Linked DNA regions of Saccharomyces cerevisiae S288C. Changing the gene in region 3 together with the main gene of any one other region gives a genetic interaction. Each region holds a gene or a part of one and is shown on either strand. Other genes may lie near its edges.

Region 1 (4,284 bases), on a different chromosome or scaffold from region 3:
ACAGCCATCTAAATAACATAAGGAATGGAATAGCCTCTCCTTGAGCGGAGATTCAAGGGATTTACCTTTCTTAATGTCCGTTCTAATCTCGTTTGTGTCATTATCTGCTTTGGCGCTAGAACTCTCTGCCTTTAATAATTCCTCTGTCCTTTGGTCAAAGGAGGTCTTGACTCTGTACCAGGTTCTAGACATCAAGTCTAAGAAAAACGTCTCCTTACTTATCCACTCGTTTAAATTCCTAAAAGAACTACCGTTGTTTTTTTCCTTTGCAAAAAAGAGAATAAGCTCCTTTTGTAATTGCATAGAATTTACAACTGGCAGGTTCAACGGGATGGTTAGACCACCATGTACAAATATATTAGACCTTGTTAGCGTCACCGCTGAACCTGTTCTATAGTCCAGCGTTAACCTTTTCCTGGCGCATTCATCAAACTCGTTGGAATCGGAAGTCAGTGGTAATGGCGGAAGCTTCAAAGGGTAGCAGAAGCAAGTGGATGGTTGTAATAAAGGCATACTACGCTAAAGCAGGTGCAGATTGTTACTTGTCCTTTGGTTTGCACGCGCGCTATGTTATCTTATATATATAGTAAAACAGAAAAGTCTCTAAAGCGCCTTCACCATGTAATGTTTGCAAGTGTGGCTATAGGCACAGGAAGGAGAAGAGTTCTCAAACAATTGTGGTAAACGGACGCTGTGAACTTGAAATAGACTTTGCCAGACTCTGCGCTACCAATTCATCAGAAAGCCTAATCTTGCTTTGAACTTCTCTTACACTCCACGGAGTCTGCCTTAGCCACACGCCAGCCCCTGTGAGCGTCCTCTTTTTTTTTTTTTTCAGAACTTTCTGCCGTGGCTCGCGAGATAGGCAATTCTATGTCCATGATATTGGGTTTTATACATATGTAACTAGTGTTATAAAATAGTTGACAACCAGGCCATGCCAAAAAGACAGAGTGCCAGAGGGTATATCTCGATAATGGTCTTGCTCTTGGTAACCCACGAAACGGCGGCCACAGACCACATCAGGCACAGCGCCATGACCACCAGTTTCACGAGCGACAGGACCCTCACAATCCAGCGATTTTGCTTTCCAATATGGTAGGCCAATGGAAGTAGTATCTGCGAGACTAAGGCATTCAGCACTTGTGGGAATAAGCAATACCCGGAAATGGAGATGTACGAAATCAGCGACACCCTCTGGTGTGGCTTGGTGAGTCTCAGATGCAATGCCATCACCAGCAAAATGAACCAACTAGACACAAATAGGCTCGAGAACAGCGACCGCGCATGCGATACAAATAGAGAATACAATATGATAAACGCAAGGGGCGCCCACAGGTCGCAATTGGCTGAAATGTCGTTATCAGCCGCCCCTATCCCGTCATCAGAGGGGCTAAAGAATGAGGGGAAATGCGGGTATACCACTTGTTTCAGTCTGGAATTAATCTCCACCACATCTCGCTTTAGTGTTTGCAGCACAGTCTCGTCGAGCGTCCCTCTGCTGCCTGAATTCTGCATAGTTCCGCCTATGTTGTCAGCAACACCCCCGGAAGCAGCCAAAGGTGCATCTGGTTCTATGAAGTCGGGCTCAATCGTAGTGTCTTCTCTTCCGTATGACATTTTGCCTGCCCTCTTGTGACATATCTTTCTACAAATATTGCTAAAACAGCTTCATTTGCTATTGTAAAAGGGGACGAAAAATCACTGTGAGAAAATCATCACTCCGGGTAATCCAATTTTCATGAAAAAAGACGCGAGGAAAGTCAGAAAAGTCGTGCAAAACAGCCTGAGAGATCGGGTCGCTTAAACATTTTGACACGAAACTTATAATGAAATAAAAAGCTATACTTGGTGAAACTGCAATCTTAATAGTATCCCTCCGCACAAAAATACACACGCATAAGGATGGCCTCATTTGCTACTAAGTTTGTCATTGCTTGCTTCCTGTTCTTCTCGGCGTCCGCCCATAATGTCCTTCTTCCAGCTTATGGCCGTAGATGCTTCTTCGAAGACTTGAGTAAGGGTGACGAGCTCTCCATTTCGTTCCAGTTCGGTGATAGAAACCCTCAATCCAGTAGCCAGCTGACTGGTGACTTTATCATCTACGGGCCGGAAAGACATGAAGTTTTGAAAACGGTTAGGGACACGTCGCACGGTGAAATCACATTGTCTGCTCCATACAAGGGACATTTCCAATACTGTTTCTTGAACGAGAACACCGGTATCGAGACAAAAGACGTGACTTTCAACATTCATGGGGTGGTATATGTGGATTTGGACGACCCAAACACCAATACATTGGATAGTGCTGTCAGAAAGTTGTCCAAATTAACCAGGGAAGTCAAGGACGAACAAAGTTATATTGTTATTAGAGAAAGGACGCATAGAAATACTGCAGAGTCGACCAACGATCGTGTTAAATGGTGGTCCATCTTCCAATTGGGCGTCGTTATTGCAAACTCTCTTTTCCAGATATACTACTTGAGAAGATTCTTTGAGGTCACATCTCTAGTCTAAGTAAAGCAGGAAAATGTAGTTCATATCTATTTACTTTTGCCTACATACGATTACATACACGATTGGATAACCTGAAGTCGCGAATAATTCTCGGTTTCATACTTTTTACCTTGATCCTTCCACTGTTTTTCCCTGTGCCAATTACATGTAAATAAATATATACATATATATGGTCCAGGCGCGCCATAAAACAAATACAGGTTGTAGCGAATCAAAAAATGGGAAATACATACGAAAAACTTGAAAGAAACAAGTACCACAGGACATGCTGTGGTCCGTTTTTCCCCAGAGCACTTTTATGTGGGACTCTTAGAAGGGAAATAGCTCTGTTCATATAGAACAAAAAAAGAATAGCCCTGTAGGGGGCTCGAACCCCTAACCTTATGATTAAGAGTCATACGCGCTACCGATTGCGCCAACAAGGCTAATTCGTTGGAAAACGTCCCCATTTCAGGGAAACATAGCTCACGATGTTAATAACTGATTTGTAGCCGAGCCACATTGTATCAACGCGTGATTAACACATGTTTGGAATATACTGTTGGAACAAGAATCAACTAGTGCTCATATTAGCAATATATTACTATATACGGTGTAAGAAGATGTCCACTATAGTCAGCCATATTCTTGATCTTACGAAAGGGAACTGTGATGTAAAATTTGTGACACTGTGACACCTTCTAGTGAAATATAGGGCATTACCAAAGTCACTAATGAGTAAAAATACCAATTACTGTCCGTAGTTCGTCAGATTAGAATCCACTATATTTTCTTTGATTGGGAGTTAACGCTGCATACTTGTCTTGGGTACTGCGTTAACCATAAATCACATAAGCGTCATTCATTATCGTACCTCTGGGTAAGTGTTTTTCAGGAGTTTTTATATATAATATGCTGGCCCCCAAGGCGGATGAGGACTGTATACGGTTTTGACGTTAAAGTGTTATATGAATCGCAGTCGCATACACTAGTGGACCCCTAGTTCCGCGATACGTAGTTGACCCTCAGTACAGAGATTCCCACGATTAACGGGTGTACTGCTCCTGACTAATGTAATTTTGAGTTCACCTGTTGATGTGGTGCTGATACTGGCACCAGTACTAATGTTTGGAAGAACTCCGTAGCATTAAGTGGAGAGATTAATCCGATACTGAGCTGAATAGTTGGTTTCACTCCCGCAAAAAGATATCAATACAGTTTGCTAACAACTTGGGAAACCCTGATGAGAAGAATTAGCGGTCATCCTGAGAAATAGGTGACCATTTAAATGGTCACTTGAATTCGATTTTCCAGTAAGGGAAGTGTCATTCGGAATCCAGAATATACCAGAAATAAGCAATTTTGCATGATAGTGCTGTTATCCTTTCTTGTGTTTTATACGATATCATACATCACCCCATTACGTTATTTATCTTGCATTTCAGTTTTTACTGGGTTTACCCTTTTCGCGATTTATATCATATTATCACCGCACATAATATACTAGTAACATTACTATTCGTCGACAAACAATAGCTTGTTTTGATTCCAGTTCTCATAACATTTGTGTACCTATTCTTTTGCCGTTCCTTCGCTATTTGGTATTGTCATCTAAGTTCGTCTATTAAATTTCCTTTTTAGGAAAAGCGCCTAATAGGCCTTTCTTGAAGCTTTTTTTTTTTCTTTCTTTAATCTACAATAATAACAAAATATTTCATTCTTAAGTGATTTACAGCGAGTATCTTACACTTCGCCACCGGTGGATAGGAAAAATAGACTTACCAAAGG
Region 2 (4,477 bases), on a different chromosome or scaffold from region 3:
GCAGGCTGCCAAAAAAATAAAGCATTTATGAAGGGGGTTCAGCAAGATGCAATCGATGGGGGAAGATTATTTTTTAACATCGTAAGATCTTCTAAATTTGTCATCGATGTTGGTCAAGTAGTAAACACCACTTTGCAAATGCTCAATGGAACCTTGAGGTTTGAAGTTCTTCTTCAAATGGGCATTTTCTCTCAATTCGATGGCAGCTTCGTAATCCTTTGGAGTTTCGGTGATTCTCTTGGCTAATTTGTTAGTAATATCTAATTCCTTGATAATATGTTGGACGTCACCAACAATTTTGCAAGAATATAGAGATGCAGCTAAACCGGAACCGTAAGAAAATAAACCAACACGCTTGCCTTGTAAGTCGTCAGATCCAACATAGTTTAATAGAGATGCAAAGGCGGCATAAACAGATGCGGTGTACATGTTACCTGTGTTTGTTGGAACAATCAAAGATTGGGCAACTCTCTCTTTGTGGAATGGCTTAGCAACATTAACAAAAGTTTTTTCAATGTTCTTATCGGTTAAAGATTCGTCATAATCGCGAGTAGCTAATTCGGCGTCAACTTCTGGGAACAATTGAGGATTGGCTCTGAAATCGTTATATAGTAATCTACCGTATGATTTTGTGACCAATTTACAGGTTGGAACATGGAAAACGTTGTAGTCGAAATATTTCAAAACGTTCAAAGCATCCGAACCAGCGGGATCGCTAACCAACCCTTTAGAAATAGCCTTCTTGGAATAACTCTTGTAAACTTGATCAAGAGCCTTGACGTAACAAGTTAATGAAAAATGACCATCGACGTAAGGATATTCGCTGGTGAAATCTGGCTTGTAAAAATCGTAGGCGTGTTCCATGTAAGAAGCTCTTACAGAGTCAAATACAATTGGAGCATCAGGACCGATCCACATAGCAACAGTACCGGCACCACCGGTTGGTCTTGCGGCACCCTTATCGTAGATGGCAATATCACCGCAAACTACAATGGCGTCTCTACCATCCCATGCGTTAGATTCAATCCAGTTCAAAGAGTTGAACAACGCGTTGGTACCACCGTAACAGGCATTAAGCGTGTCAATACCTTCGACGTCAGTGTTTTCACCAAACAATTGCATCAAGACAGACTTGACAGACTTGGACTTGTCAATCAGAGTTTCAGTACCGACTTCTAATCTACCAATTTTGTTGGTGTCGATGTTGTAACTCTTGATCAACTTAGACAAAACAGTTAGGGACATCGAGTAGATATCTTCTCTGTCATTGACAAAAGACATGTTGGTTTGGCCCAGACCAATTGTGTATTTACCTTGAGAAACGCCATCAAATTTCTCTAGCTCAGATTGGTTGACACATTGAGTTGGGATGTAAATTTGGATACCTTTAATACCGACATTTTGAGGTCTGGTTTTTTGTTCAGCGGTCTTTTGTTTTTTTAGTTCAGTCATTTGCAAGTTTGTATTGTGTAATTGTTGTTGCTTTTGCGGCCTAAGTCTTCCTTTAATACCACACCAACAAAGTTTAGTTGAGAGTTTCATGCTGCACCTTTTATAGTAATTTGGCTACGAAAATTGGCGAGGCACCCAAACAGTTCCGCCCGATGAGGCCGAATGGAGCCTACTTTCAACACACTCGTATAATTAATAGCCCGGTTCATTTTCGACACGATACCGCAGCCATGGAGATTGTGGGTATGATTACTCTATAGTATTATGTAATATTGTATGGAAAATTTTTCTATTGTATATACGAAGCTTATTCCGTTAAAAGACGAAGACTTGATCGTCGCCAGAACTTCTCGTTGAATTGACCTTCCAGCCCAGTTCTTTAGCGTATTGAAGGGCCAAGTTGTTCATTCCATCAGGTCCACAGATCAAGAGTCTGTTATCCTCCGAATATTCCGGCAGATACCTGTTCATCTGGTCCTTGGTGATGTAGCCGACATCTCCGGTCCATCTGTCGGATGGATAGTGTACCACGTAATGGACCTGGAAATGTGGGTATTTTTCGGCCATCTCATCCAGTTCGTCCTTCAATAGAATGTCATTTTCAGTCTCATTGGCATATAGCAGGGAGACTTTCGTCAAATCTTCAGGAACGGTGATGATTTCATTCAAGATCTGTAGGACTGGCGTGATACCAGAACCACCGGCTACGATACCTAAATGCTTGGAGGAATTTGGTTCGTAGTTCAAAGTACCTATTGGCCCCTTGAAATCCACGGTGTCACCAGAATTTAAGCCAGCGAAATATTTGGAGACTTTACCATCAACGTATGCTTTCACCACCAAATCCAAGTATCCACTTTCTAGTTTAGAACTGATCGGATTATAGTATCTGACCTCTTGTTTGCCGTCAATTGGAACGCGTACAGCAACATGATGACCAGCGGGAATGTCCAAGCTTTCCAGTCTTGTCTTCAACTTAAAACGATACAGGGCGGTATTCTTGGAAATTATGGTTTGATCTTCCAATTCTAACGAAGTCCACCTATCTGGATACAGTGATCTTCTTCTTTTGTAGGCAGAGTATGCTCTGACGAAGATGATCATGAAGAGAATGGGTAAACTCCACAGGATTTTCAATTCACCAGACATATACGTGGTGATTGCAACACCAACAACGAATAGCGCGGCAGGAATATAGATCCCGTGGACAGGTTCGTCTAGAATGTTAGTTCCTTCTATGTCTTCTTTTGACATTTTCTTCACGCGGTTCTTGGAGTGCTTCCTTTTTTGTGATAAGTTTGGGTGGCAACGAGATGAGCTCAAAACTCTTTGTTTTTTATGGGTATTTTTGTCTTAGAATATTTTCAAATTTTTCAATATTCCGCGGAACATAGGGAAAAAAATAAATTTAATAAGCTATTGTTCTAACTGTACACCTAAAGGTAAGTGAAAAATAATTCGATAATTAGAGGTATCTTTATTTGGATAGAATATGCATATATATATATAAGCGTATATATATATATATATATATATGTATATACATATGGACATTAAGTAAATATAAATCTATAAGTGGGTATCGGGATCAGAGCCACTTTCTTAGAACTCCTCAGCGTAAGAATCGGCACCCACTTCAATATAATCTCTTTCTAAGGCAGCTAAATCTTCTCTAGCTTCGGTGAACTCACCTTCTTCCATACCTTCACCGACATACCAATGGACGAAAGCACGTTTGGCATACATCAGGTCGAATTTCTGATCGATTCTCTTCCAAGCGTCCGCGATGGCAGTGGTGTTGGATAGCATGCAGACAGCTCTATCCACATTGGCTAATTCGGAACTTGGTATCACACTTGGTGGCTCATAACAAATACCAATCTTAAATCCTGTTGGACACCAATCCACCATTTGTACTGTTTTTTTATTCTTCACCTGTTCGACGGCTCTTTGGACATCTCTGGTCACCACGTCACCTCTGTATAACAAACAGTTAGCCATGTACTTCCCCTTTGTTGGGTCACACTTAACCATTTGATTGCCCGGTTCGAAACAAGCGTTTGTGATTTCTGACACGGAGTTGGATTCATGGGTGGCCCTCTTCTTGGACAAGATGGGTGCGTAGGAAACCAAAGGGAAATGAATTCTTGGATATGGTACCAAGTTGGTCTGAAATTCGTTCAAATCCACGTTTAATGAACCATCGAACCTCAAAGAGGCTGTAACAGATGATATCACTTGGGCAATCAACCCGTTCAAGTTGCTGAAGCTTGGTCTAGAAATTCCCAAGTTCCTCTTGCATATATCGTAAATGGCTTCGTTATCGACCATAAACGTACAGTCTGCGTGTTCCAGGGTGGTATGCGTGGTTAAAACCGTGTTGTAAGGTTCCACGACGGAAGTAGACAATTGAGGCGCAGGATAAACGGCGAATTCCAATTTGGATTTCTTCCCGTATTCATACGATAAGTTTTCTAATAACAGGGAACCTAAACCGGAACCAGTTCCACCACCGAGGGAGTGGGTGAACAAGAACCCTTGTAAACCGTCACATTGGTCGGCCATCTTTCTAATTCTTTCTTCAACTTCATCCACTATTTCTCTACCCACTGTATAATGGCCTCTTGCGTAGTTATTGGCGGCATCTTCCTTACCGTTAATCAATTGTTCTGGATGGAAAAGCTCCTTGAAACGTCCTGTACGTACTTCATCGATAACATTGGGCTCTAAATCCACGTAGATTGCTCTTGGGACGAATTTTCCGTACCCCGTTTCATGGAAGAATGTAGAAAATCCTTCTTCACCTCCCTTAGGTTTTGACAAGCCATCCTCCAAATGGCCGTCTTCCTTGATGCCATGCTCTAGGGAGTACAATTCCCAGCATGCATTACCTATTTGACAACCTGCTTGACCAACTGTTGTAAAAAAGAAAAATAACAAAAGTTCCAGCAATCCTCCGAAGAAGAAGACACAAAAATCACTCCCCATGTAATGAGGTCAATTATGAGCTTTTTCGTCCGAGTAT
Region 3 (8,361 bases):
TTAAAGATAATGATACAAAACTGAATACAAAGCATTCCAACGAAATACAGTTGATGGAAGTGTTTTGCGCTAAGGAAGATTAACATATAACCACACAACCATCTTCGAAGAAAAACTCAAAAAAAATCTTACCTCTTCAGTACCTAAAATGACATACATAATTCGACTTTTTGCTTGTCCATATGTTTTACATCTATATATATTCGTTCTTTTGTCACATTTTTGTTTACTCAGGCCCTTGTCAAAGGGTTGTTTACCTGGATGACAATACCGTTTTCATTGTTCTTAACCACGGAAACCTGTGTCAAATCACAGACTACATAATCTGCTCCTGCGTCAAATAAAACGCTCTTGTCATACGAGGATGTTATACCCACAGTAATGGCGCCCATTGCTTTGCCGGCCTTTATGCCCACGGGTGCATCTTCGAAGACAACATACTTCAGATCCTGTTTACCAGTTAATTGCAAATCTTGACGCAATAAATCACGAGCTCTTGAATAACCCTCGGGATCAGGCTTACCGTTCTTCACGTCAAACCCAGTAATGAAAACTTTGGGCTTTCCAACATTTTTCAATATTGTCTCGAACCATGAAAATGCCAAATATGGAGAACCAGAGGTAACGATAGCCCATTTCCTTTCAGGTAACTTTTTTTGAGTCTCAGTATCTACATCTAACGATAACAGTAAGTTCTCTGCACCAGGAATAAGGCTTACTGTGTCCAAGTAACTATGGGCAATATCTTTTTCTAGAGCAAGAACACCTTTATTGTCTGTATCATCCAATTTAGGGAAAAACCTTCTCAAAACCTCTTGTGTTCTTGCACCATGAGAATGCTTAAATAACTCGGAAGGATCAACACCGTATTCGTAACACAACTTGGTCCATGCTTTCTCTGCGGCCACTGTTGTACTCACTATGGTACCATCTAGGTCAAAAAGACATAGATCAGCTGAAAATTCTGCCATTATCCTTTGAACTTCTTACGTGAGTGGCAACGTAACCAACAATCTCCATCAGAACGTTATTTCCAACAGAATAATCGCGATCATTAAAAATGAAAATAAAATTAAATAAAATACTTGCAATAAAAAAGTTCCATGAAATTTATATCATTAGATGGTACCAGAGCCTATAATCTCATAGATATACGCTTCCTTCTATAGCTGAACAACGGTTGTTTGAAATGTCGGGGTTAATGTCGGAATATATAGGAATACTCTGACGTGTCTGTATCACGGAACATAACCGTGATTGAAAATTACAAGAAGCCAAGACTCTAAAGGATATGCGGTAGAAGGCGTGTGTAGAAGAGCCCAGTGTATATTTTTTCACCGATAAGATGAAGTAGATAAACGGAATTTCTGGCAAGTTACTTGGCAAAAGGATACATAGCACGAATTACTTTATTATAAATATTGTAACTGATTGCCTTGAATTGATGTTAATGAGAATCCTAGGACCCTTGGTTTGGTCATTAGCTTTTCGTTTTTCTTTGCGCGTCGTTAAGAATGAAAAAGTTCTAATATGTATCGTATCATAAACGACAGCAACTTCGAGAAGTACATTGAATGGAAATCATTCTGCAACACCTTTATAGCTTCAACATAGGTTAAGTTTTAAGCATTTCAAGTGCTTTTCAATTAAGCTATAGAAAGTTCTTTCGTTAGAAAGAAAGACAGTTAAACAAGCGGCAAAAGTTGATGAGCAATGAATTGGTCTTTTCTACTACAGCTGGTAATAACAATATTGTTAATTGTGCTGGGCGCCAACTGGTTGCTAAGCTCTTTTCTACTTGATTTTAAGAGAGATTTAACAGGGGTGGCTTTGTCACAGCAATCTAGCATATCCAGTGTTCGTAAAGAAAATGAAACAGCATATTATCGAAGCATTTTAGTGCCCACAGGATTCCCATTGACGACAGGATTAGGGCTATCTTTAAAATACAAAATAAGAAATGGCAATTTCGGTGATGTTTGGAATGCCATAATGGAAGTTTCCAAGGGAAAAAACATAATTAAATTTACAGGAAGAGAAAAAAGTTATTCGTTGAGTGAACTTAATGGTATGGCCAAGCGCATATTTCCGAAACTTTCCAATAAGAATTTCAAAAATATCGGTATAGCTAATTCTATTGCTACCGTAGAGGGTTTTACTCTCTCCTTGGCTTCCATGATGACCTCTATAAGAACAGGTTCAATACCTCATTTCTTGCCAGCTGTTCCTAGACAACGACTAGAAGATGTTGATGTCCTGATCATCGACTCATGGAAGTCTTTTAAGATGCTAAACGGCAGCGAGGATTGGTACAAGCTTATTGTTGTTTGCGATGATCCTATCGAATCACTACAATTTGATGCGAACTGTGATGTTATCACTTGGAAAGAACTTATCGACGGTTTTACCAAGGATACAGAGTACCAATACACCCCGCCAGATGACAACTCTGATGATAAGAAACTTTTTGCATACGTAACTTCACCATGGAATGGAACTAATAGTTTTAATCAAATCTGTCTGGTGAGTAATATAGCGGAATTCATCAAAGGGTTCCCCTTGGGAAATGAATTGAATAGTAATGAATACCTAACCATTTCGACAAAATTGGCAAATTCTAGTGCAAGCCTACAAATTTGGGGAAAGCTTTTTGCAGTTTTGCTGCATGGTGGGTCTGCATCTTTCATCAATCCTACAACGATAGATTGCGAGTCGTTGCAAGAAACTACGTTACTGTTTACCGAAACAAAGGATGTTGTCAAATTAATTGATTCTAATTCTAGAAGTGGGCTGCTGAATAAAATCTACTTATCCTGGGCCACGAACTTACTGAGCGAGGGTATTTTTACGAAAATTGCCAGAATCGAGCCACATTCTCTTGAAAAATTAAGATGTGTTTATTTGGCAGATAATGTGAAAGATGCTGAGGTTATTTCGACATTTCCTGAAAAAATTCCTCAGCTAAAAAAGACTAACCGAAGAATCACCCCAAGCACTGAACAATTGAATAAAATAAGAGCTCAATTAGGATCCCGTGTAGTCCTCGAGTTATATTGTCCCTACGCTATCATGGGACCTGTGGCACATACCAATTTTTATGACTATAGGGTTTTTGGAAAATCTGTGGACGATAACGTTGTATGTTATGGAACACTAAGTACAACATTAGAAGGAAAAATGGTAGAAACGGAAACAAACCCTCATTTGAACATAGAGAAGAAGCAGGGTATGTTATGTATTCGTGGTTTTAGCATAGGTAAACCAGTAGAGTCCGATCGTTTAGAGAAAGCTTTGCATTTAGCTGAAAGGTTTGGAGGAGGTGAAGGATGGATGCCTCTAGTTGGCGTTTTTGGACTATTTGGCCAAGACGGTTGCTTATACATCTATAATCAATGAGCATTATCTATCGCTTTATTATTTATTATTTATTATTATCATTATTATTATTATCATTATTATTATTACTACCAATACCTTCTATATCCCTGTGATCAGCTAAAATGATTCAAATAACTGTCATTTTAATCGTACATTTTATATTAGGCCTAATGTGCTGACGATCAGTCATATTTCAAATGGCCATCAACACAGTTCCAAAAGTCTGTGATATATTTTGTTTGTTCGTCACTTTCGTTATTAATTGTTCCCCTCACAGCCAAATATGTCCTATTGTCGACATCAATACTCCATTCACCTGGATTGGCACCTACTACACGACCGCCCACTTCTTTCAAAATACACCATCCAGCACACACGTCCCACGAATAGCAACCACCATCCCAATAACTATCAAGGTACCCCATAGCAATATATGCCATTGTCATTGCAGATGATCCTAAATTTCTGAATCCATGAACAAAACCGTAATCACATGATAGTAATTTTTCATATGTGGCCATTTTTGTCTGAAAATTCTTTCCCTCTCTAGCGGAACCTGGCTGTAATGCCACTACGGATTTATTTAGTATTAGAGAACCCATAGATTCCAATTTTGATTTATAGTCATAGTCCTTGTTGTTAACTCTCATCCCATTTCCTTTAGAAGCGGATACCAGAAGATTAATGTGAGGATTATATATAACGCCTACTACGGGCTCTTTGTTTACTGTGAGCCCAAGAGAGGTACAGCTAAATGGGAAATCATGAACAAAGTTTGTAGTCCCATCAATTGGATCAATAATAAAGGTAGGATCATCAGTAATCACGGTCTCCCCTTTCACATAACTTTCCTCTCCAATAAACTTGAAAGTTGGATATTGGGTTTTTACCGATTCCCAAATTAACTTTTCGACCTGTTTATCGATAGCAGTTACAATATCAACGCTCCTGGAGCCAGTCTTCAAGTCATAATCCTTTTGAGTGCCGGACTTGGATTTGATGATTGGTCCTACTTTTTCAGTAGCCAGTTCACAGAGGAATTTCTCGATAGAAGCTAGATCAATGGTCATGGTATATGTGTATATGCGTGTACCAGCTGTTGATTTCCTTATTCATCCAAAAAAAAGAAAACACTGGGGTTATTTAACAAGCAGTTAAATGTGAAGTAAGAGATAAAAGACCTATATTAATACCATTTTTGGAAAAGCAACGTGCGCAACAATGAAAGTCACTCGATGCATCCATTATTCAAAAAAAAGTTTTTTTTTTTTTTCCATACATCATCAGATGAAAAAATCTCGCTATGACGCACGCCAGTCAATATTCACTCAGTTCTTCCGAAAGGAAGCAGAAGAAAGTTCTCTATACTTGGAAATGTGTCAATGAAGATGTTATCAGATTCATTTTCTGCTAGCTACTATATTTCTACATAAGCAAGTAGTAATCTCTTTATTAATTACACGTGGTTTTGACTCATTGGCATATGTATATATTTGTGTTGTAGGTGCTCGTGAAAAAAAAAAGCTATTGATCATACTCATGCTCACGCAAGTAGGTAGCAACGATTTCACGATCTCTGCTCACCCATTGCGCCTTGGATCTAATAGTGTCTAAGGCTTGAGCCAGGGTTTGATCAAAACCTTTAGTGACCTTTCTACTATAGAACGCACTAATTTTTTCAAGGGCTTCAAAAGAGGTAAAATTAGTTAAACCCAATGTCAACACGCCACCCAACACAGGCGAGCCTGGCTGTAATCTCTTAGCAATTTCGTCCCAGTGTTCTTGCATCCAAGCCCATAACCTTTCAATACCCTTCTTATGAACTCTAATGCCTTGCATTGGGATGTAAAAATCTTGATTCAAAACTGTACCATCTAGCAGATAAGACAATGTCCTTTCTAAAAGTTCTTTGTCTTCAAATCTGCCCAAAGCTCTCAAAGCGATAATCTTTTCTTCTGACGAAACAGGGTTTTGATAGATGTTGAAAATCTTTTCGTAATTGTTTTCTCCGCCAAGTCTGGCAACGGTGTTGAAAACAACTGCCTTGAACAGTGCAGGTATGGCCTGTTTGTTCCCATTGGCGTATTCCTCAAACATTTCTACCGCAATCGATTGCATTTTTTCATTGCCAGAAGTGCATGCGGCACTGAAAAGGGTCACTTTTAAACGTTGGATAGCAAAGGAGTCGTCTTCGCCAATATTCCACCCCAATTCAGAAAGTTTGTTAAGTACTAGATCCAAAGTAAATTTATCTAGAGCATTCAATATATCCTCTGGTTCGAAGACCCAAGTAGATTTCAGAGCGGATAAACTATTAATGATTTGTTCCCAAACAACAAATGAATCCTCGTTTTTCCAATTAGAAATTAAATTCAAGAAGTTAGTAGTAGAGGTATAGCCAGATGCAGAAAGGGCTTTTGCATCTGCGACTAAGCCAACACGATCCTCTACGGATAATAAATTTGCCTGTTTGGATAGCTTAGCCCATCTTTCGTCAGAATAAGAGGTAATGAAAATACCAGATTGGTCACCATTAATCTTGAAGAACTCTTCATTCTTTAATTCGAAAGTAGCAGATTTTTCGTTCAATACCAATGTGTTATCGATACCTGTACTGTCTTTCAAAGCTAACAAAATGGGGTATATGGTTGTATCTTCCTCTTCTTTAACATCACCGGTACTTAAATAACGGTGTTGAGTTAATGTGATTTTGTTCTTGTGTTCCTTGACAGATAACACTGGAAAACCAACACGTTTTGTCCAGATGTTCATCACCGAACAAACGTCCTTGCCAGAGGCATCTGCTAAGGCGTCCCACAAATCTCCGGTCTTTGCATTACCGTATTTGAATTTATTCAGGTATTGGGACACACCTTTAATAAAAGTCTCTTCACCCAACCATTTGGAAATCATCCTCAATAAAGAAGATCCTTTAGAATAAGAAATAGCATCAAAAATTTGATTGATTTCGTCCGCATTATTAACGGGAACTTCAATTGGATGGGAAGATCTTAATGAATCTAAATTTAGAGCACGTTGTAAATTGTCAGTAACATATTGCTCCCAAACTTTCCATTCTGGTTGAAACTTGTTGCAAGAGTACCAAGACATCCAAGTGGCAAAACCTTCATTCAACCATAAGCCTTCCCACCAATCCATGGTGACCAAGTTGCCGAACCATTGGTGGGCTAGTTCATGCTGAATAACCTCAGCAACTCTTTGAATGCGATCTAAACTCGAATTTTCTATGTCTAATAACAAATCAATAACTCTATAAGTCACTAGCCCCCAGTTTTCCATAGCACCAGCAGAAAACTCATGAACTGCCACCATATCCATCTTTGGCAATGGATATTCTATGTTGAAGGTGTCCTCAAAGAATCTCAAGGTCCTAGCAGCTAAATTGGCTGCAAACTGACCAAATTTTTCGTCCCCTGGGGTAGAATAAACTCTTACTGGAATACGGAAATTATTGCTTTCCACGTATCTCAGGTCAGCTACAATAAATGCTACTAAGTACGTAGACATCTTTGGAGTCGTGTTAAAAGTTGTATATTTCTTACCCTCTTTGATTGTTTCATTCCTGACATCCATGTTGGACAAATGAGTCAGAAACGATTCAGAGACCAAAGTTACTGCAAAAGTCGCCTTCAAATTTGGTTCGTCAAAACAAGGAAAGGCTCTTCTAGCATCTGTGGCTTCCATCTGAGTAGTAGCCATGTACTTCGTCTCCCCTGTGACTTTATCCGTATACTTAGCCCTGTAAAATCCCGCCATCTGATCATTTAGAATACCGGAAAAGATAATTTCTAACTTCGCAGAAGGTCCTAGGTTTTCAAAAGTTCCATTAGGAAAGACAAGAGTAGCTTTTTGTTGGTTTTCGTTTTTGTTAACTTCAATGGCATTGACACCCTCAATACGTGCAGAATGGAAATCTATTTCTAAGTAATTTATTTGCACAGAGTTTATCGAATGATCATTAATCTGCAGGTCAATTTTTAATGACCCTTCAAACGTAAAAGCACGGAAATTAGGTTCTAGTGTAATGTCATAATGCAATGGGGTAACGTTGTTTGGCAGTACTTCACGGGACATGGTATTAGCTGAGAGGGCAATTTGGCTTGCTTGAACAGGAACCCTCAAAGAAAAATCACGAATTGAATAAGCTTCCCTGAAGATAATTCTAAATGATTAGCTAAGATTACTCATAAAGTCAAAAGTTTGATCGCTAACAAAAGGGAAAAAAACGGAAAAAAAATAAAAAAATGTGTCAAACTCCCACAGCCAAGTCCAAGAGTACGAAAAAAAACTTTCACAACGAGTTCAAAAAATGTGGGATGAAGACTCCCGTTTTTCACCGCCTAGAAAACAGCGTTTGCTGAGAAAAAAAATAAATCATCGAGAAGAAGTATGTCATCATAGGATGTTCCCATTGTAAGGTGATGTGTAACATACTCGAACAAAGAATGTATAGAGCTGAATATTTCTCCTTTAAATTTCAAAGAAAATGAGAAGGAAAATCTCAAACAGAAACTTCGTTCTTTTTCTCAAGTAAGCAAAAGCTTATTGAGACAAAGCGGAATAACTACGATATTAATAACGTTGATGAAGCTCGAACAAAGTTAGCGTCGGTTATGCTTGCCTATATAAAGATATATTTGCCTTACATTTTCGTTGAACGTAGAATGATTTTTGCTTTTAATAAATTTTTTGTTGTTCTTTCAGTGCTTCTTCAACTTTGATACGAAAGCAAGTGCATTAGTACAACAAGAACTGGCCACAACTATACTATACTCATTTTTTCTTGCCCGTGTTTTAAATGTTTTCATCCACAGCATTTGATGGGATGATTGGAAGTGAGACGTTCGAGAAAATCCATATTTTGAGTCAAGAATTCAGATAATATACTGAGATGATTAGGTATGGCTGGGTTCTACAAAAACACAAATATCCGGCTAGCAATGATCACTGAGCAAATTAAAG

What was found. Genes that interact genetically often act in the same process or in processes that back each other up.
Region 1: mutations in DDE1 (region 3) and EMP24 together harm fitness more than expected from each alone (negative genetic interaction), as found in Saccharomyces cerevisiae (2 studies listed by BioGRID).
Region 2: mutations in DDE1 (region 3) and PGA3 together harm fitness more than expected from each alone (negative genetic interaction), as found in Saccharomyces cerevisiae (2 studies listed by BioGRID).

The regions. Positions count from the first base shown.
Region 1 is NC_001139.9:120,927-125,210, reverse strand, and holds EMP24 (Emp24p), read left to right. Parts: upstream 1-1,905; coding exon 1,906-2,517; downstream 2,518-4,284. Other genes in the region: MDS3 (Mds3p), read right to left, coding at 1-513; YIP4 (Yip4p), read right to left, coding at 913-1,620. UniProt on the Saccharomyces cerevisiae protein: Constituent of COPII-coated endoplasmic reticulum-derived transport vesicles. Required for efficient transport of a subset of secretory proteins to the Golgi.
Region 2 is NC_001145.3:18,994-23,470, forward strand, and holds PGA3 (cytochrome-b5 reductase), read right to left. Parts: upstream 2,707-4,477; coding exon 1,768-2,706; downstream 1-1,767. Other genes in the region: ERG13 (hydroxymethylglutaryl-CoA synthase), read right to left, coding at 67-1,542; alpha-tubulin TUB3, read right to left, coding at 3,055-4,367. UniProt on the Saccharomyces cerevisiae protein: NADH-dependent cytochrome b5 reductase that reduces coenzyme Q6 at the plasma membrane and mediates lifespan extension by calorie restriction by shifting fermentative to respiratory metabolism, probably through modulating the NAD(+)/NADH ratio.
Region 3 is NC_001140.6:193,838-202,198, forward strand, and holds DDE1 (Dde1p), read left to right. Parts: upstream 1-1,713; coding exon 1,714-3,396; downstream 3,397-8,361. Other genes in the region: DOG1 (2-deoxyglucose-6-phosphatase), read right to left, coding at 231-971; inositol monophosphate 1-phosphatase INM1, read right to left, coding at 3,561-4,448; AAP1 (arginine/alanine aminopeptidase), read right to left, coding at 4,903-7,473.